3 linked regions of the Lytechinus pictus genome follow. The protein of the gene in region 2 binds, or shares a complex with, the protein of the main gene of each other region. Links are inferred from orthologs where the notes say so. Each region holds a gene or a part of one and is shown on either strand. Other genes may lie near its edges.

Region 1 (7,661 bases), on a different chromosome or scaffold from region 2:
AAGATGATAGTAATGATGAAAGTGATGATGATGATGGCAATGAAATTAAGATGATATTAATGATGAAAGCAACAAAGTGATGATGATGGCAACGGCGATGGTATTGGTGGTAGTGGGAATGCTGATGGTTGTGATGGTGATGATGCTGCTGATGAAGATGGTTGTGGTGGTGATGGTGATCATGATAATGAGAACTTTTTGATGAATCGTCACTAAGGTACTATACACCATTGTTGTAAAGAACATATATGTAAGGGAAAAGTTCTTGCGAGAAAAGATGATTGTTTTCTCTTGATTGGAAGATCTGTTCATATATGTGATACTGCTTTGATGATGATAATGATTTGTAAACAAGTGCACACCTAGTTGCAAATAATGCATTATTAAAGCATTTCCATTTATTTGAATGCAGGATGAAGAGCATTGTCAATTAAATGCCTTGCTCATGAGCAAACGTGCTGCGGCCTGGGATCGAACCCTGGGCTCTCCATGTATAGCTAGGCCCCTTAGACCACTCGGCCGCGGCACCTCCACATGATGATGAAATGAAGATAATGATAAATAAAGATCATCAGTGTGGTGGTGGTGATGATGATGGTGATGATGATGATGGTGATGATGGTGATGATGATAGTGATGATGATGGTGATGATGATGATGTTGGTGATGACTGTTAGGCCTGAATTGATTATCATGAGTGAGTGGTACCCGGGAGTGGCACTGCTCCCTGTACGTCTGAGGCGGCGAAGTGCACAGTCGAGCGACGTCGAGTCTCGATTGAAAGTGAAACCGCCCTCTCTCGATCAATTCCCGGGACTTGAGTGAGTTGCCAGAAATAGGAGACCGAAATAGGACTGCTGGCTAGCGACCGACGGATTTCCATTCTAAGCCGTTCTCTGATTGGTCAGTTAAGACAGTGCGGTGTCTATGTATTCCGTGTGTGTATGTGTGATGCGAAGCGTGCTGTACATGTGTTCACTGGCTGTGTGTGCATGTGAAGGATAGAAGTTTCTTACAGCTCTTAATTTAACTGACTCTCTTTCCAAGCTTAAAATTATAATGATAAATGCTACATTCCAATTGTGTGATTTGTTTGTTTTAGAAAAGGTCTTTTATTTTTTCCTCAGTCTATTAATTCTCCCATTATTAAAGAGTCTTCACTTGCGTTTCATTACATTATACAATGTCCACTGTAATGAATGGAAACATGCCAGTCAATGGACATGCAGTATTATAAAAAATGGAAACATGCCAGTCAATGGACAGTATTATAAAAAATGGAAACTTGCCGGTCATTATTGATCAGTATAATATGAAAATGGAAACATGCCGGTCAGTTTACCATATGTTCTAGTGTTTAATGAAAATGGAAACATGCCGGTCAATTGACCATATATGTTTCAGTGTATAATAAAAATGGCAACATGCCGGTCAATTGACCATATATTTCAATGTATATAATGAAAATGGAAACATGCCGGTCAATTGACCAGTAAAATGAAAATGGAAACATGCCGGTCAATTGACCGGCATGTCATGACGAAAGAGCTCCGTTTGATAACACTACCCAGGACCAAAATCCAGTTAAAACCAATTAGGGCAAAACCAATTGAAACCAGTTGGCCAACTGGTTTCAATAGGGAAATTGGAACAACTGGTTCCAATTGAAAACCAGTTGCCAATTGGTTCCAATTGAAAACCAGTTGCCAATTGGTTCCAGTTAAAACCAATTGGGCAACTGGAACCAGTTGGCAATTGGTGTCAATTGGTTCCAGTTGTTCCAATTTCCCTATTAAAACCAATTGAATCCAATTGGAGGCAACTGGTTTCAATTGGTTCCAGTTGAAACCAATTGGAGGCAACTGGTTTCAACTGGAACCAGTTGAAACCAATTGGTTTCCAACTGGATCCAATTGGAACTAATTGGAATGAACTTGATTAGTTACAAATTAATTAGCATTTGCACTAACTATTGCTCATATGCCAACACAGAAGCAGTATTATATGTCTATTAATACCAATGTAAAGGGCATTGATAAAATACAGACTTTCACATGTATATATTGTACGGAAGATCTTCAAATATATGTATTTTTATTTGATGTAATTTGGTAACAGTTAGTGGGGTACTAATTATCCTTTAATCTGTTTTAATTATAATCTATAACATTTATGAACATGGTTTTCACTGCTAAGTATTCTAAATACTTATCTTTAAAAAGTGTGGCACTTGAAATTGAAAAGAATTAAATAGATACATTGTTAATGATGATGAATCTCATAAAACATTAATCTGTGCACACTGGCAGATAATATGCAAATTAACTGGTTTCAATTGGATCCAGTTGGGTAACTGGAAAATTTCCAATTGGAAACCAATTGGAAATCATTTCCAGTTACCCAACTGGTTCCAGTTTTATTTCCAGTTACCCAACTGGTTCCAATTAGAATTCATTTCCAGTTACCCATCTTTCCAGTTAGAAGTCATCTCCAGTTACCCAATTGGTACCAGTTAGGATTTCCAGTTACACAACTGCATGGTTCAAGTTAGGATTTCCAGTTACCCAACTGGTTCCAGTTAGGATTTCCAGTTGCCCAACTGGTTCCAGTTGGGATTTCCAGTTACTCAACTGGTTCCAGTTAGAAATCATTTCCAATTGGAAGTCATTTCCAGTTACCCAACTGGTTCCAGTTAGGATTTCCAGTTGCCCAACTGGTTTCAATTGGTTTCAACTGGAAATTGTTAAATTCCAGTTAAAACCAATTGAAACCAGTTAAAACCAATTGAAACCAATTGAAACCAGTTGGAAATCCAACTGGTTTCAATTGGATTTTGGTCCTGGGATACCCCTCTTCTCCAAGTACGAAAACCCTACTGCCCCAGGCATGCAATGTAAGTATCAAAACACCTGTTTCTTGACCTCGGTCCGAAGATAACACAACAGCCCGAGTGCGGTCCGGGAAAACATGTCGCCATTTTTTATTCACTTACTTTCCTTATTTCGAGGTTGATTTTCTTTGTTCGAAATTGAAAATGGGCTAGCATTGAATTTCTGAATACAGTATGCCTTTGAAAACGTGATTAAATATCGAATACAATAATTTAATTCCGAAGGTCCTTCTACAGGCAGAGAAGACTTACGTAATAGCACATCTGTTGTTATCATTTCGTCCTTGGCTCAACGCTCATAATCTGGCCTTTGGGGATTACCTGGCCAAGCGGGGTTGATCAGGCGGGTGTTTCATAAAGCTGTTCGTAAGTTAAGAGCGACTGGTGATCATGTCTTGCGGTAAATGGTACAATTGGCGATGATCACCAGTCGTTGTTAAAGTCGCTCTTAACTTACGAACAGCTTTATGAAACGACCCCCAGGGCTTGGAAATGATGTTTTAGATTTTCAAACGCAAAATGGGGTGAAATACCGCAGTTTGCAATCCGAACTGCGGTCCGTTCCCAAACGGGGGTAAGACGTAATGTGTTTCCATTTTCATTATACACTGAAACACATAGCCAATTGACCGGCATGTTTCCATTTTCATTATACACTGAAACATATAGCCAATTGACCGGCATGTTTCCATTTTCATTATACACTGAAACATATAGTCATTGACCGGCATGTTTCCATTTTCATTATACACTGAAACACATAGCCAATTGACCGGCATGTTTCCATTTTCATTATACACTGAAACACATATAGCCAATTCAATTCAATTCAATTCAATTCAATTCAAGGCTTTAATCCAGACACAGCCGCATATGCAGAGGTCCATATCAACAAATAACATACATGTAATATACATCAAGACAAACATACAAAGATAATACTGGAATAAACAAAGAACAAATAAAGTATAAACAGTCAAAAAGGAGTAAAACAAATCACACTAATAACTAGGAACAAACAATGAATACCTAAAACAAGTGGTTAAGCAGTAAGTGAATAGTACAACAGTACAATGGAAATATTTACATATGGCAAAATGAGTAACTTGTCTCGAAAAAGACAAAGATACAGACTAATATTAGTAGACCACTAATTACTTATGACTTAACCCAGAGAGCTCCCGCCCGCGCAGCGGGCGGGAGCCCAGAAGCTCACAGTGTATTCTACCATTGCCACCGAACAAGGGTGATTTATGGTCTAAATATTTCTCCAAATGAATTGTGAAAACAAAAAGTGTACAATTACCACGATTATATGGATGAAGGTCTAGCGAGTGGCAGATTCCTGACATCTGAGCACAGTCTGGAACCTCAAAAAAACCAAAAGTTCTCTCCTTCTACCCAGTCTCGATCGGCCGTTTTGTTACGATTTTTAACAAAAATGGCCGATCGAGACGGGGTAGAAGCAGAGAACTTTTCGTTTTTTTGAGGTTCCAGACTGTGCTCAGATGTCAGGAATCTGCCACTCGCTAGACCTTCATCCATATAATCGTGGTAATTGTACACTTTTTGTTTTCACAATTCATTTGGAGAAATATTTAGACCATAAATCACCCTTGTCCGGTGGCAATGGTAGAATACACTGTGAGCTTCTGGGCTCCCGCCCGCTGCGCGGACGGGAGCTCTCTGGGTTACTTATGACTCTGCTAACAAATTGTCATACCAACGCTTCCACAGTTCCGAGGTGTACCTCGTACAGCTCTGTAAGGGGTTAACCAATATATTTACAATAGCATTTTCAGAAATGTCAATTCTCTCAATAAACTTAAAAGTTAGGTTTCTAAGAACGGCTTGACATGAAGGTACATTAGCGTCAGCAAACATTCTACTAGCACTAGAGTGCCTAGGTAATTGAAGAAGCATTCTCATAGCATCGTTATAGGCTACCACAAGTTTCCTTAAACTGCTCTTTTTATATCTGCACCACAAATGTGCAGTATACAACGGTGTACAATATGCTCGAAATAATGCAATATATTTACAATAGCATGTTGACCAGCATGTTTCCATTTTTATTATACACTGAAACATATATGGTCAATTGACCGGCATGTTAGTATATATCTCTATGACACATGCACAGCACGCTTCGCATCACACATACACACAGTACAGTACACGGAACACACAGACACCGCACTGTCTTAACTGACCAATCAGAGAACGGATAAGAATGGAAATCCGTCGGTCGCTAGCCAGCAGTGAAATAGGAGTGGGGAGACGTCCAATTTTCATCTGAACTTTCGATAATACCTTGTATAATGCATGGTCTTGGGATGCAACCGGTAAGATTACTATTTAAGATCAATTTAGATTATTTTTCTTTGTTGTAGAATGTATAAAAGTGCCCAATTTTCGGGAAGGATCTTCACACATTTCAAATACCAACAAAACTGTTCGGCCTCGGTCCCACCTACTGAAAATTATGTAGGGGTCATATTAGTTTCTAGCGAACGATGGTCAATGCTTTCATAAGATAATTTTGTATCTGATTGATTGAAGATTAATCTCTTAATTGAGCGTTGTGTAAAACAAAGTAAAAAAACGAGGCATTATCGTGGTTTATGTCACCAGTCCATTCATTGCCGTTTATTTCGTCAGCGGTGGTGACTAACGTTAGTGGTGACATCTTTCCACTCCCATTGACTTTGTACACAACGATCGCACACACACCGACGCACACGACAAGAGAGGTGACAAATTTCACGATTAGGCCAAAAACGACATGCTGAATGTCTGATGAGTGAAGTTAAAAATAAAACAAAAATAAGTTAAAAACAAAGCATGATGAACTTGAAGAAAAACATACATTCATTTGAATTGTGCCAAGGCCAAGCCCAAGCTAATTTTTCATGATAAAAACTATATTTAAGATAGAAGTTTACAAAGACAGCCCCCCAAAAAAAAATTGGCAAGAGTTCCATTAGTCTTAGACAGCTGGCAGCCATCTCGAGGACGAGGAGTTTTTAACATTAAAAAAAAAAAAATTCTCGTACACAAACGGCTCGCGATCGTGCAGCCGCCATTATTAGGGGATTAACAATGCAAAATCCCCTCGAAGGGACTCCTCGATTTTTGTCTTTTATTTCATAAAAATATATAAAAAGAAATGGACCAAAATAAAGATTATTATGTCGTTTTGGCCTGAAAAGCACCAAAATGGGAAAAAATAAACTAAAAAGGAAAAAAATCAAACAGTGATACCATGGTCACATTTGTTCTACGGCGGCCGTACGGCGAGTTGAAAACAGCCGTTTTAACATTTTTTTGTCAAACTACATATAGGTGGTTTGAATCAAATTTAATAAAACGGCTGTATTCGACTCGCCGTACGGCCGCCGTAGAACAAATGTGACCATAGTATTACTTACTTCGGCTGTCATGCAACTCCCACTCCCTGGTTTATCCGAACTTAATACATAAACATACGGCCGTTGAGTCCATGCACTCATTCAATGAACAAGGCACTTGTTCACTGCAACCACCCTGCCTGTGGGGAATCTACAGGAAGGACTATGGCATGCCAATGCTGTACAGACCACACACTTTCAAAAATCATTAAAATATCACTTTTGTGACCAAAATTACTAATTTCCATACAGTTGCAATTTATTTTTCATTAGTAACTTGGAAATAATTTTTGTATTCACTAGAGCGCTCAAAAACTTGAATTTTGGGCATATTTTTGTGTACGCCCTCTATTGGTGGAAAGTAATATGGCAAGAAAATTTTCATTTTTTATCTCTATTTCTAATTAAGAAAAAAATAATTTAAAGAATCAAATTTACTTAAGGGCCAAATTGTATGACAAATAGGTGTTATGGAAACTGTCAGTGTAAAAAAATCAAGCATTTGTCCCAAAGAAAATAAGCCAAACATTGCCACCCTTATTTTGCCACACATGGAGACATAACTGAGAACAAGGTTATATCATAACCTTGTTCATTGAATGAGTGGAACAAGGTTATGATGGATATAACCTTGTTCCTTGTTGTTTCTCCTCACAAGAAAATTCATTCACCTGTCAAGTGCCAACCCCAATCAAGTGCCAACCCCAATCAAGTGCGCTAGTCAATGTAAACATATCAGGTAACAAGATTACTGGAAGACGGTTAGTTGTGAAAAATAGACAGTAAACTGGGGGGAATTGAGGGCACTGAATCTAATTCTAGCACTTTCCATTCCTGTCATTACCGTCTATGTCCCGCATGGGTAAGTGACAAAAAAACTGTCCTTATAAACAAAGACAATCTCAATTTATCAAGACATGATTTGTCTTGGTTTATGAGGATATTCTTGCTTTCTGGGACAATCCCAATTTTTGGACCAGCGCCTCTACTGATAATGATGATGGGTGTGGTGTTTGATATGCAAATATTTTTATATGAACATGCCTAATAATTGATATTGAAATTAGAAAATGTATATACTTTATGCAGTATTAGTATATAAGAACAAATCTCTGCTAATTTTTGGCAAGGGCAGCATCCAAGCTCATAAGGGATCCATCATGCCTCCCAATTTTTAACACCTCTTAAATGATGATCCACAGCATTTATATTGCACCATGTTTTTGTTAACTCTTGTTGCGCTGATGTTGCAATTTTTCACATTCCTACAATTTAATTAAACAATCGTAATAATTATTTTTCTCCCTTACCTTAATACCGGGGAATGTGATAAATAGCTATAGTTCTTGGGTAGCATCTAT
Region 2 (7,761 bases):
AATTGGAAAAGATACAAACTTGGTTTACTGTCAATAAACTTTATATTAATCAAAATAAAACATGTTACATGATCTTTAAAAGTAGGAATTGCAGAATACAAGATAGTGAAATAAATATAAAACTTAATGATGTATTAATAAAGAGAGAAACTAGTACTAAATTTCTTGGCGTAATCATAGACGAAAACCTGAATTGGAAGGAACATGTAAATCACATTGCTTTAAAGGAGAATGAAACCCTTGAAACCAGCTGAATCCATATCAAAGAGAAAAATCCTAGAAACATATTGTTGAAAGTTTGAGGAAGATTGAATGAATAATAAGAAAGTTATTAGCATTTTAATGTCAAGATCACTAATGCCATGTAGATCCTCCCATTGGCAATGCGACCAAGATCTGTGATGTCACACACGTACAACTCCCTCATTACTTTAGTGCTTATTTCACTTATATTCTCACTTTTATAGAGTCTATCACAAGGTGAGGTGTTCTCTTTATGAGAGGACAAGTACAGAGGTTTCACAACATTATATCATTGATGAATCATTTGTCATATGATTAGAATGAGCAAAAAGAGATGTTTTGGGGTATATTTTCAGTGTCCAAAAGGGGAGAGTTGTTCATCTGTGACATCATAGATCTTGGTCGCATTGCCAATGGGAGGATCTCCATAGCATTAGTGATCTCGACATTCAAATGCTCATAACTCTTCTATTGCTAGTCCTATTTTACTCAAACTTTTGTTGATCTTATTCTTTGATTTTTCTGCTTTCACAAAAGCTAACTTGCTCCAAGAGTTTCATTCTCGTTTAAAGATATCAAGATCCATAGGAGTTTTTAATAGTTTGAAACACATTTTACCATTGAGAATTTTAATTAAATTATACAATTGCTTGATTTCATCACATCTCATGTTTTCGAATATTGTATGGGGCAGCTGTTCATCTCATTCATTACAGAAATTATTTTTATTACAGAAACGTGCAATAAGGGTTATTTCTAATGCCAATTATTTAGCACATACTCAACCTTTATTTAAGAAATTGAAAATACTGAATATTTATGATATAAATAAATTACAACTAGCATCTTTTATGTTTTCTTACTCTAAACAATTGCTCCCAAAATATTTTAATGAATACTTTGAATATAACATCAACATAAATAAATATTGCACAAGAAATGCCAATAAAATGTATGTACCTTGATTTACCTTGACAGGCCAATGGCCTTTTGTTTATCCCCCACATCCTCCTCCCTTCAACTTTACCATATCTTTTATGTTATGTATAATGTATGTTGTATTTTGTATTGATTTGTAAACTTGATCTTTTGATGTTTTTAAAGAGATGTGAATAAAATTGAATTGAATTGAATCCCGCACTCATGACATTTGTGCACTAATGTAATAAGATTAGGCACTGTGTCTGTGCGCTAGTCTGTTACTGCATTAATTTATTTAAGGCTAGCATAGACCAAAAGCTCAGGTCTCTGATATTGGTTGTTCCGCTGAACTCCGTTGGCTCCACTCACCGATTACAGAGACCGAAATTCTAACAGGATCTGTACAGGGACTCAATGGCCATATGTTTATGTATTAAGTTCGGATAAACCAGGGAAGTGGGAGTTGCCCGACAGCCAAAGTAAGTCACTGTTTTTTCCCCGTTTTGGAGCATTTCAGGCCAAAACGAAATAATAATCTTTATTTTGGTCCAATTCTTTTTATATATTTTTCTGAAATAAAGAGAAGAATCGATGAGCCCTGTCTGGGGAATTTTGCACTATGGCGGCTGCACTATCACTAACCTGGAGCCCAGAGGCAGAAGCTCACCGTGTATTTACCCATACTCACGGGACTAGGGTAGATTGTGGTCAAAATATCTAGCAAAATAAATTGTGAAAACAGAAATTATGCACTTACCACAATTATATGGATGAAGGTCTATCGTGTGGCAGTATCCTGACATCGAGGCACAGACTGGAATCTCAAAAAAACGAAAAGTTCTGTCACGATAGCTCTCCTTCTTTCAAAAATCAAAACAAAATAGCCGATCGAGACCGAGGCTATAGCACTAGCGCATATAGACTTGGTCAAATTCGCGCATGCGCCCTACACCCTCGGTACCGGTCTCGATCGGCCATTTTGCTATGAATTCTGAAAGAATAGCTACCGCGACAAACTTTTCGTTTTTTTCGAGGTTCCAGTCTGTGCCTCGATGTCAGGATACTGCCACACGATAGACCTTCATCATCCATATAATCGTGGTAAGTGCATAATTTCTGTTTTCTCAATTTATTTTGCTAGATATTTTTACCACAATCTACCCTAGTCACGTGAGTATGGGCAAATACACAGTGAGCTTCTGGGCTCCGGCCCGCTTTGCGGGCCTGAGCCGTCTGTGTACAAGGAGAATTTTTTTTTTTAATGTTAAAAAAACTCCTCGAAACAGACAGCTGCCAGCTATAAATAAGGCTAGCGCTGCTGTACGAAGTGAACGGTGGTTCCCAATATTATGATAATGCCCACCTTTTTTTGCAACAATCAAAGAACTTCTGACATTATCCTGGATCTGGACCTGGTTTAAGTCATCACTCCATTCACTGCCGTTTATTTCAATTTTCATCAGCGGCGGCGGCGACTCCTTTCCTCTCCCATTACAATTACAAATACAAGCGCACACACACGAGAAGAGAGGTGACTTATTTCAGAATAAGGTCGAACTTCTGGCATTGCCGAACTTCTTTCAGAAAAGTTTAGTTAAGCCGTAACTTTAAATAACATTCAATATCAATGATTCATTTCATCATCACGTTGACTGAAAATTTACTACAGTCCCATCCGTTCGTATTCGTGCTATTCATCTAAGAGTTGATACCTCTAACTACAACTTATAAAATTATTCTAACAAACTCAATAAAGATGATTTCCACACCTTACTTCTCTTATTCAGGCTTACCTTTATGCAAATTTTACATAAAAATTATGAAATTCCAAATAGTTTTTATATATTATTCTCAATCTTTGTCCAGACTCCGGTCTCCGCTTTTCAGTCTTCAGATCACTCGCTAGCTCGGCCTTTCTCATTGATTTACGTACGACGAACGCGCACAATTGCAAATGCACACGTTTTTGGTTTTTGCTTGCATCACGCACAGTTATATGTTCATGTTTCGAGGTTCCCGCGTTATGTTCGTACCGCACCCATTCATTGATTTTTTTTTCTACAATTTGTAGGTGTTAGACTGTTAAAGGCTTGCGGGAGGTTTGTTTTTTAAAATGTATTCTGCAGAAAATTCTAACTCACAATTGCGTTTTGTTCAAAATTCATATCGAAATATATTATGTAGACCCTAAGTTAATTAACTTTTTGGTAGTTGGGGGGGGGGGGGGGCGGGGGCGTACGTGGTGCCGTGGTGACCCCACCCCTCCCCCATCCCATTGAAATATTAATATTATTCTTGGATAAAATAAATATTTTTTTTAAATATATTTGTTGAATATCTGACTGATTTTAATCTTTGCAACATGATCGAGCTTTGGAATAGAGTCGATCGTGTCATGCTGTCATTTTTTTTTGGGGGGGGGTCAAAGTTTCATAAACAGGCGTACGAATCTATCTATTTCTATCTAACAGTACTTACGAATCTATCTATTTGGACATAAATGCATTTAGAAATCAAAGCAATAATAATGATCAACGATCGAGTTAAAAATGTTTAAATCCATGGCTTGAATAAAAATGTGATTAAAATAACAGGCTTTTAACACCACAGTCAATCCATTAAGTTGGAAAATAAATTTTGACATGCTGAGCGACAGATATAGGCATAATAAAATGTAATTCACATATTAATCAAAATGTCTAAATATCTGCTTTGAAAGTTTTATTCATGAAATGTAAATGGAATCTTAACTTCATAAAAATGGATCCATCCCCCCCCCTCATTTTTCTTTTAGGCTTAATAACTTGAAGAGCATAAGAAATACATTTTTTTAGAATTGGGCATACGCCCCTCCTAGGTTGAGGAATGTAAACAGTTTTGCCATTCCTAAGTTAACAGAAGCTGACTGTTTGGTCGGTCAAATTTTAACAAACAGTGTCCATGCAAAATTTGAACCTATATAAGATCTTCATGTGAATATTATTTTAAAAAATGCATTAGACTTTTTTCTTTCGGGGAAATATATAGACTGGTTAAAGAGGCATCGATTGAGTAACTTTATTCAAATAAGAGTGAATTGCTCCACGACGGATAGGCCTTTAATAGGAATTAAATCTTGACAGACAAGAAAATATAGATTTTCAATTATTTCATCCTTTAACTTATCCTGTTGAAAAAAAATAAACATAAAATGAAACTCATATAAACACTGAAAACGGCATCAGATTAAAGAACACTATACAAAGTTGACTAATATTTGAAGATCTGAATCATGTTTTGCATTAAGACGTTGGTGGCGTACTTCATAATTGTCCACTTTTCATTCAAGATAAACTGCGATCGAGCAGGCATGTTATTTAGAACCAATGCGATATAAAAAGGGGAAAGGGACAAACTACTGCAAAGATCATTAGTCAAAAATCAATAATTGAGTTGGGGTACTGGCTGACCGCACTGATGGGGGGTGGGAATCTTAAGGTCCTTACCCCCCCCCCCCCCTCTCCCTCTTGTAGGAAATCCGAATGCTTTGTTAAACCGATCGTAAAATCAACATAAATTTCCATCATATTTCATAATATAGGCGAAAAAGAATTTTGCTCAAATTGAATTAATAATATTATTTATTTTTATGGCCATACACAGGATTTTTTCGAAAGGGGCGGATTAATACATTCAATTTTCAAATCTTCTGGAATACATACAAGCAAGCAAGCGAAACGACCAAGCTCATTAGGAGAGCGATTTGGGTGTGTGTGTGTTTTGAAATTAAAAATAAGGAACCTCGTGCGCATGCACTTATTAGCCGGTGGATTTTTTTTTGAAAATCTAAATGAATAGGTTTAGACAATTTCCGAGTACTAGAGCCCTGTAATTAAAAATAAGGAAATCAGTAAATGGGGGGGGGGTCATCTTCTAACAACGAAAAATAGGGATTCTTTTATATCCAAAATGATCCATGAAATATCTTGGACTGTGAATCGATTGGGCCATCCAACTACATCCAACTATACATAGGCATAAAAAGGGGAGGGTGCTCCTAACCTGGGTACGGGGGGGGGGGGGGGGGTTGGGAGGTAGAACAACACTTTTTATCTTTTTTTTCCCTCTCTTATCATTCATACATCTTGTTAATATTTCATTTTGTAATTGCTGAAACGCATTAGTATTAATTTCTAGTATCTTTGAAGTGTGATGTATAATTTGTATAATTATATTTGTTATGGATTATTGTGTAATTTATAATCATGTTTCAAATAGTTTGTACAACTTGCTTATGGAATGTGAATGTTTATTTTGATTTAAGAGAATACAATAAAACATCATTATAAAAAAATCTACCCTTCAAATGGTTTTGCTTCGAATATGATTATCAAGTGTATTTTGTTAGCAAGAAAGGGGTTATATCAAGACATAATGGGCAGTAGGCTTATTTACCAAAAAAAAGAAAACATATTTTACAGGGGGCTTTGATAAATGCAACTCAATGTTGAAAATTATATAAATGAAATGATACATATAGCTGTCAAACCTTCAAGCAAAAAAAGCATTCAAGCCTGAAGTCATCAACTTTTTAATTTTCAACCCACCGACTCACATCAATAGATCGATGTGAATTTTCCTCACTTGGCGAATTTTATATATCACCCTTAATATACCTACTTACAGTGTCCTTTTCTCGGTTTTATCGAGCGGGAGAGGTATTAATAGCAACATCGATGCTAATTATAACTCAGTTTTTGGATTGACTAAGTAAGCTTGCCGAGACAGAACAAGAGATGATGGCTTCCATTATTGTAATTACGTGCTTCAGAAATGACAATTATGACAGGTTGTAAGGAAAGAGAGACGAAGAAAGAGGAAGGAGAAAAGAAGAAAAAGTGAATGGCTTTTGTGGTATAGTGGTGATGACAAGTGTATGGAGCAGTGGATTATGAGCGGACAAAAATGAGGGGACAAAACATCACGTTCGATGCCTATTTCAAAATAGTCGCGAGTGGACAAAGCAAGCGACACTAAAAAAAATGAATGTTCAAAATTAAAATTCATTTGTTCAAAAATACATTCCTAAACATGATTATTTCATCATTTTTTCAATTTTCTCTTGTATTCCTTTCTTTTTTTCTCTCTCCCACTCTCTCCCCGAGAGCATAATTATAAAGATTAAGTTGCAAATTGAGCGCACACTAATCTTCATCTGATATGAAAGCATTAGTATCTAAAAATACTTTTCAAAAATTGTATTTTTTTCATTGTAATATGTAATGAAATGAATAATTCTTTTAAACAATTTAAATTTATATTCTCTAAGAATAATATCGTGAATATTGTAAAGAATGAATCAACGATTTTTAAAAAAATATGCAAATGTGTGTATTGATATTTTTTGGGTATCCATATGAACTCATTAATTCTTATCTTAAAATAGGATCCGTATTTTGGTTCATTTTCAATCAAGATTAGGCCTGATTAATCACCAATCAATTCAATTAAAGGCGAGTATTGTTCGATGCCGGTATAGTATGATAGTCACTGGCGTAGATATGGGTGATGGATTTGGGGCAATAACTTCTCCCCTTAAAAAAAAAAAAAAAGAAGAATTAAAATAAATAAAGGAATAAATAAATAATTGAATATATGAATAAGTAAATAAATAAGTAAATGAATATATAAATTAATAGATTAATTAATCAATCAATTAATAATGAATGAATGAATAGAAAAGAGGGGAAAACATAAAAGGAAAAGTAAATGAAAGGTAAAGGGGGTAAGGATGTGTTATTTTCTGAATGACATATCTAAATCTATCACAAAATTAGACTCTCATTCTAAAAAGGAAAAATGCTTGCTCACTTCGCTCGCTCTCGACTTTTAAGAATTGTTTGCACGCACGGCATGTTGCATGAAGTGCATCAAAGGTGTGTCCCCTCAATTTTTGTTTTGGCTCATTTCACAACTAAAGATATTAACTCTCATAGCAAATTACTAAGCAGAAAAAAAAATTCAATCATAATGATTATAAGTGTGTGTGCAACATCATTCGCATTCCCGGGGCGCGGGGGACACATGCCCCCCCCCCCTCCCATCGACAGACACAAAAAACGAGGGAAAAGGGGAAAAGAGGGAGAAAGAAAGAGAAACATAGAGGGGGAATGTAATACAAGACGTTTCCCCCCATAATTTGATGAAACATAATTTGCTTAGGGTCTATGTTTTTATCACTCCTGGCGCTCGCATTGAATGTATAATTGGATACATAATCTCGTTCAAGATGGCACTAAAAATATTGCTTTTTCAAGTTAATCAGGGGCGGTGGAACCAACGGCAGGGGGGCACTCCCCCCCCCCCCCCCTCAAAAAAAATCCCCGTTGGAAAAATATGCCTTTTTTTCTAAATGGAAAATGCCCTTTTTCAAAATGAAATGTGCCCTTTTTCAAAATGAATTACCCTTTTTGAAGTAAAACATTATACATTTTAGGTTAGAAAATCACAACATTTTTGGCTTGCGCTTCGCGCTCGCATCAATTATTGTTTAGTAAGGTACTCATTCTGTTCCTGGTTCCAAAAAAAAAATGCTTAGGATGTTTAGTTTTCACTTTT
Region 3 (7,320 bases), on a different chromosome or scaffold from region 2:
ATGACATCATGAAATAAATATTCATAGATCTTTCTTTCATTTTACCTAAACCATGGTGATTCGGACAAAATACGAAAACTGATGCTCTTTTGAACGATTTTGGGGTCAGTCTGTTTAGGCAAAAGGAATCCCAATCAGACCTTCATTTTTTTAGGAGCGCAATCGCGCCGGCGCTCCTAAATAAAATAAGGAGAACAAAATATCGCGCTCCTTAAAAAAAAAAAAGGTTGCTGAAATTTCACATTTTACATCTTTATATTCATAAAATAGGCATAGATTCTATTTTCCATAATTCCTTAAAATTATTTTGATTTAGTTGGAAATTACCCAAAAAATGAAGAATATTCACCTCTTTCCTGACTCTGATTTATGATGTTAAACTCGGTAAATATTGTAGTCCCATGTGTAGATTTTCATGGTTTTGACCAAGTGTATAACAATCAACGATCGTTTTCAGTTAAAGGTCAAGTCCACCTCAGAAAAATGTTAATTATGCACAACTCAGTGACAAGCAAATGAGACAGTCGATGATGTCCCTCACTCACTATTTCTTTTGTTTGTTATTGTTAGAATTATACAATATTTCATTTTTTACAGATTTGACAATAAGGACCAACTTGACTGAATCATATAATATTAAACAATGCTAATTCCACATGTTTAGGGAGGAATTAATTGTTGTTTTACTTGACAATGAGAAGAAAATTAGATTTTCATATAATAAAATACAAAAGAAATAGTGAGTGGATGACGTCATCAGTCTCCTTATTTGCATACCGAACAGGATGTGCATATACTGTTTTGTGAAATTAAGCGAAACTTTAAAATGTCATAACTTTCTTATTTTAAATCCGATTTTGATGAAATTTTCAGTGTTATACTTGTTGGCTTACAAGCATTCATGCTTTCTTAGCAATCAGGTAAAAAATCACCACCACCACCTATTTTTCTCTTTTCATTCAAATAAACTTTTTGTTTGGGTGGACTTGTCCTTTAATGTTGCAACACCACGGAAGTCTACATGTGGGACTACAATATTTACCGATTGTAACATCGTCAATCCGAGTCAATAAAGAGCTGAATATTCTTCACTTTCAACTAAATCAAAATAATTTCAAGGAATTATGGAAAACAGATGGCCATTTCATGGATTTAAAGATGTAAAATCCGAAATTTCAGCAATTTTTTGTTAGGTTTTTTTTTTAAGGAGCGCGATATTTTGTAAACCCAGGCCTAGTTTCACCACAGTTTAATTAATAGCTACACAGCTATTGCATTTACAATTTTAAAAAAAATCTGCAATTTAGCATGCATGTATTGTATTAAATTGAGCTCCTATAGGAGAGCGATTCTGAGGAGCTCAACTGAGCTCCTCGAAAAAATAAGGAGAGCGATTTATTGGGCTCCATGAATTTATAAACGTGAAGGACTGCCCAATCATCATATTTTTCATATATTCTAATCATTGGTTTTTCTATGATCTCAGGTTTAAAGCCATGAAATTTTGTGCTCGGTGATTTTGACGACCGGCAAGGTCCCCACGGCTACCTGTACAGTGATTCCACCACTCATCGACCACCTCTTTTGAAACTGATCACCTTTGGCACTTGCGCGCATTTAGATTAAATTGCATACAAACGCTACGCACAGGAAACTAGGCGCAGCATCCATAGTAATGATAAAAACCGATTTTACGGAAAAAAAGAGGGATAAAATTTTAAAAAGCTGTAGATCTCCAGGACTAGCATGACTAGCAGAGGAAGGAGAAGGTGACATCGAACTGATTCGCAAGTCAATATGTTTTGCCACCGTGACAAACTGACAAGAATCGGCTGTAAAATTAACATTAGTGTATAGCAGCTGGTCAGTCCTAAAGAAGGATGGAAATTTGAAATCTTCATGTTCGTTGGTCACTGACATCTACGGCCATGACGGCTACGTGAATAGAATCTCAGTCAGTAGAGGCGCACGGCCAATATTGGAGACTGTCTCCAATGTGGGAGATTATCTCCAATATCAGAGACTTTTGTAAAGAATTTGGGTATCCAATTTCAGAGACAGTCTCCAGTTTTGGAGACCAATTTCCTTTGTTTACATTTGCTGCAAAAGGATTACCTTGGCGGCAAATAAAAATGTGATAAGCAGATTCCTCATGAAAAATTACCCCTTTTCACCGTCTACTTTTGTTTTGATAAGGATTTTTGTTGTCAATCACACACAAAACAAATGGGCTTCTGACCTCAGTGAGACAAAATTTTGGGTGGAAAAAATCATGCTTTTGTTGGTGTTGTTTCTTTTGTCCTTTTGCAAAGCAAGTCTCCAATGTGGGAGATTGTCTCCCCTATTGGGAGAGAGTCTCCCATATTGGCCGTGCACCTCTACTGTCAGTCAGAGCAAAGCAATCTATCTATTTTTTATTTCTAAAAAAAAGGAATTTTGATCCGCTCCATTTTCTGCACATGACTTGAGATGGAAACTAGCTTAAACCAATTAGATCTAGAGTCTAAAATCTTTGTGATTAAGATTCTTAGAAGAAAATTAGGTGGTCGATAAGGGGTACGTCCAACCATAAATATTTGACAACTCCGACAAACTTTAAAAAGTTAAAATTGCAGTCGAAAGTCAACTCAAATTCAAACAAGTCGTTCATAAGTCAACGTGATTGCTGATTTTGGATCCAGATCTACAACTCTAATGCCCCAACTTCCAGTCATATGGAATTCAACTTTGAAAAATAACATCTACCTGAGATCTGTAGGTTGATTAGAAACATTTAAATCGATATTTAATCTGTAAAGACAGAGTTCAATACAGGCACGCACGTACGCATTTACTTTTTACTCACACAAATTGCAACGTATGGGACTACATTTTAGAGAATTGCATTGTAAAGAACCTACGCGACACATCAAAATCAGAACAAAATAACGAACCCATCCAATAATAATATCACACACAAGAGAGCTCAACAATAAAATTATTATTCTTAGAATCATAAAATATCACAAACACTGAATTCTAAAGCACTAAGTTTGAGAAATATCGTTTTAAACTTCAACTTACTGAGATTAAAGATTGTCATTGATATTGTACGTAATAATGGCTGCCAGTTGTAATGCGTTTAGCGCCATCATGTGGCGAGATTTGCCCAAACAAAAGCCAACATACGTGACGGTTTCCGTATTGTTTTTTAATTTATATATCATTTCATCATACTCATTAACATCATCATCATCATCACCACCACCATCATCATCATCATCATTAGCACATCATCATCACCATCATTATCACCATCATCATCTTCATCACCATCATCATCATTATCACCATCATCATCATCCTCATCATCACCATCATCATCATTATCACATCATCATCACCATCATCATCATAATCACCATCATCATCATCATCATCATCATCATCACCATCATCATCATCATCATCATTATGATTTCTTGCTTCCCTGGTATTCTTTAAAAAAAAAACAGGCCCAGATAATAATGTAGACCTACAATCATATTTTAAATTTGTTTTTCCAAATAATGATATTTCAATTGTTTGTTTATGAGCTGTGTTGATCACCGACTTTAAACAATCTTTATTGTTATTATTACTAAGATTATTATTACTGTTGTTGTTGTTATTATTATCATTATTTATTATCATTATCATCATCATTATTATCACAATTATCATCATCATCATCATTTATTATTTTCACAATAAAAATGATATCAATATCAAAATAATCATCTTCATCATCACAGCATCACCATCATCTTTTTCTTCTTCCTCCTCCTCCTTCTTTGTCAATAAATTTCATATCATCATTTTTCAATCATTAATATCAGTATAACATCATTTATGGACATAATTATGACAGACTTCACTAGGTGATTTCATACCAAATAAGTACAATTTTATTATTTTCTCTGCAATACAAATTGAATAATACCTCAGAGAAACTCTTCAAATATCTAGATTTCAATGAAAAATATATGATGAATATCCTAAATGCATGTTTGAATGTAAATAATAATCAAGATAGAGCCCAAAAACTTTTTAGCAATGCCCAGAAATTATCGTCAGTGTCCTCCAAGAAAGGACTTATGGGTAATTTAACAATGTTTTTTATTTCAAACATTAAAGAGTACGTCGAAGGCTATCCAATGATGCAAAAATTATTTCATAATTTCACGTAAAACTCAAAATATCAGTAAATTAAAAGGACCTAAAGGTGAAATAATCATAAAACTTACCCCTACTTTGGGAAATTGATGTTATATCAAATTCATTCAAAAAATAAGAAAGATATCACATGCTGTGCTTGTCATAACATGTTGATTTTTTTTAATTAAAAAAAATCAAAGAAGACTTCTAATATTTTCCTATTAAAAATTTATCAAAGCAACCATACTTTCATTTTGCTAAAATAATAAAATACTCTTACTTCTGCATCAATTTACTTCGAAGGGAGGTACATGCGGGGGTACATGGATGAAAAAAAATAATAAAACAACATTCTAAGTTAAAATGAATGTTAGAAAATGTGAGAGAATTAAGGTCTAGAACATCACTTTATGTGCTCAAATATATAACTGCACAGGATTGGCAAGAAACTAATACATACATATACCACAAATGAAACAGACAAATATGTTTGACATTAACAATAAAATACCAAAACAATGTTTTTCTTACAGAACTTTCCAAATAAACATGCAGTATATACATGTATATATGTTTTACAAAATGACAGTATATGTTTACATTACTTGCTGATAGAAAGATCAGGAATCCTGTTTACAAATAATAATCAATTGCAACTTACAAAAAGTATCAGTGACTGACAAATTCTCATAAACAAATTCCATTATCAAGAAGGGTCAAGTACTGATAGTATACAAATTATTTAGCTAATCACTCGACTTTTGGAAGATTCATGTGGGGTGGAGTAAAGAAAAACAGAGGGAGGGGTCTCATTTCAAAAGGGAAGGGTAATATCTTAAAGAAGTCACAATTCCAGCTTGGAAACTATTTATTAAAGCACAGTGCAATTTTGAATGAAATCTTGGGAAGAAAATATGCTTGGCTGCCATGCCGGATCATAAACGCTTCTACAAATAATACAATTTAGTTTATCCTATTTTTATCAATCTCATTTAGTATTGGGCAATCATGAACATAACTCGGTGGGGTAGGGTCAGAGGCCCATAATGAAGATAAATAAGAAACCAATGATTCTCTGGGGGCAGGGGATCATATCAGGGGCGGATCCAGGATTTTCCAAAAGGGGGGGGGGAAATTTTTTGGAGGAAAATTTTGACAAGCCCCCACCCCCCAAAAAAAAAAAATGGTTTTCAACCACAAATTAAGGATATTTTGTACCTGAAAAAATTTGACAAGCAAAAAGAAAAAAAAAAGGTCTTCACTTTCAAAAGGGGGGGGGGGGGGCACATCTCCGCTTCAATGGCATTTTTACATTACAAATTTTAATTTTTCTTCTCAAATGGGGGGCACGTGCCCCCCCCCCTGGATCCACGCCTGGACCATATCTTCCTGATAAAATCTTCTCTGACCAATTTTCAAGTCAATATTGAAAACTGCAAATATTTAGATCCACATGTGCACACATGTTGTATGAAGAGGATACCTATGATATATTATATGTATATATTATATGTATAAATAATATATTCTATGCATAACTTATCACAAATTGTTGGCTGGGGTCTAGAAAAAATTTGTATCTTGAGACAACACATGTTTCCTTCTCCATTAAAAACAAATTTGTAGCAGAACCAACATAATTTGAACTTGAAATGGGTTATTTTCAGACGAGAGATGAGCAAAATGCTGCACTTGGTCGCTTTCTTTCGCACACGACACGACCGACATCCCAACGTTGCTTCCAAGTAGCCATGTTTTACTGCAACAAATAACAAGTTATTTTATGCATTGATAATTCGCCAGCAAAATGCTAAAAATGCTACTCAAGATTTTACTGCTTCTGTTAGAGGGCCCATTTAGATGCTTTCATAGTCCATTCATCTGCAGTGCTTTTTGGCTTTCATCACTTTTATACTCATTAGATTTACAGTGATATGTATCCCTGCCCCATATGTAAGCAGCCACCCCAAGACCAACAAGTTGCAGGGAAGGCTCTGTATCAAATAGCCAAAATAGTAATCTAGTCTTCAAAAGAAAAAATTAGCAAACTTGCTTATCTGAAAGGGTAGTTCTTCTTCTTTTTACTACCAAAATTCGAAGTTGTAAAGTGGAATATAAAAAAAACAAGATACATGATCTTTTTTTTAACCTCTTTTGTGTACTGCTTGGAATTTTAACCGAGAATTCACAGTATGCACATTGGTTTGACTTTTTAAAAATCTGAGCTAGAAGGTCACACTTGTCACCTGTGTCTGTGATATGTTACAAAAATGAAGCCCAGAAAAAATTGCGTTCGAAAATAATTATTTAGTGCTTCAAAAATTGAAATATAAAGTGACCGAAAACACCATCTTAATTTCATCCCATACACTTATGTGTACCATTTAGGCGTCTATAAGACGCCTATTTACAAAATCGGGTTAATTGCCTTGTAGTTTTAGCTTTTCATTCTCAATAATGGTTGTTTTCAGGGTTTATTAGTTCTAATACATGCACTTGTACACATGTTTCATCTTGGTTAGAGAATTTTTTAAATCGGCTGCTTTAAGATCAAGTTTAACTTCTTTTGTATTCAAACAAGCACTTGTGAGGGTCATTGTTGATCAATTTTAACAAATTATTTATCATTTTAAAGTTTAGGATATGTTCTTTCAAGCTAATTAAAAAGAAATCCCAAGATTGATTTGGGGCAACTAATTGTTGGTTTTGAGTGGCTGGTCACAAGTTACCTTCTGGCTTTCATTACCTTTATACTCATTTGATTTGCAGTGATACAGATATCATGTACTTATTCATATAATACACTGGGTTTCATTATGTATAAATTTATTGAGTATAATTTCATACTCATTGCAGTGATATCCTTGTGTATCATATTATATACTGGCTTTCATTGTTTTTATACTCGTCTGATTTGCAGTGATATATATCATCGGAAATCATATAATATACTGGCTTTCATTACTTTTATACTCATACTTGCAGTGATATATATCCCCGGGTATATATCCTTGTTAATCATCATCATCATCATTATCATCAGTGTATGGAAGAAGAAGGCAAGCCTGTCGAGACTTCCGGTCGTTCATATAATATATGGTCTTATATACTCAATATACTTGCAGTGATATATATATATATATA

What was found.
Region 1: CCR4-NOT transcription complex subunit 10-like (region 2) and CCR4-NOT transcription complex subunit 9 share a complex: the UniProt entries of both Homo sapiens proteins name them as parts of the CCR4-NOT complex. The link is inferred for Lytechinus pictus from reciprocal best matches to the Homo sapiens genes CNOT10 and CNOT9.
Region 3: CCR4-NOT transcription complex subunit 10-like (region 2) and CCR4-NOT transcription complex subunit 2-like share a complex: the UniProt entries of both Homo sapiens proteins name them as parts of the CCR4-NOT complex. The link is inferred for Lytechinus pictus from reciprocal best matches to the Homo sapiens genes CNOT10 and CNOT2.

The regions. Positions count from the first base shown.
Region 1 is NC_087257.1:20,916,188-20,923,848, reverse strand, and holds the start of CCR4-NOT transcription complex subunit 9, read left to right. Parts: upstream 1-4,609; 5' UTR 4,610-4,653; exon of another isoform or gene 4,654-5,033; 5' UTR 5,034-5,211; coding exon 5,212-5,235; intron 5,236-7,661. UniProt on the Homo sapiens protein: Component of the CCR4-NOT complex which is one of the major cellular mRNA deadenylases and is linked to various cellular processes including bulk mRNA degradation, miRNA-mediated repression, translational repression during translational initiation and general transcription regulation.
Region 2 is NC_087246.1:48,078,976-48,086,736, forward strand, and holds the start of CCR4-NOT transcription complex subunit 10-like, read right to left. Parts: upstream 3,092-7,761; 5' UTR 2,958-3,091; exon of another isoform or gene 2,528-2,957; intron 1-2,527. UniProt on the Homo sapiens protein: Component of the CCR4-NOT complex which is one of the major cellular mRNA deadenylases and is linked to various cellular processes including bulk mRNA degradation, miRNA-mediated repression, translational repression during translational initiation and general transcription regulation.
Region 3 is NC_087263.1:5,245,284-5,252,603, forward strand, and holds the start of CCR4-NOT transcription complex subunit 2-like, read right to left. Parts: upstream 3,114-7,320; 5' UTR 3,083-3,113; coding exon 3,064-3,082; intron 1-3,063. UniProt on the Homo sapiens protein: Component of the CCR4-NOT complex which is one of the major cellular mRNA deadenylases and is linked to various cellular processes including bulk mRNA degradation, miRNA-mediated repression, translational repression during translational initiation and general transcription regulation.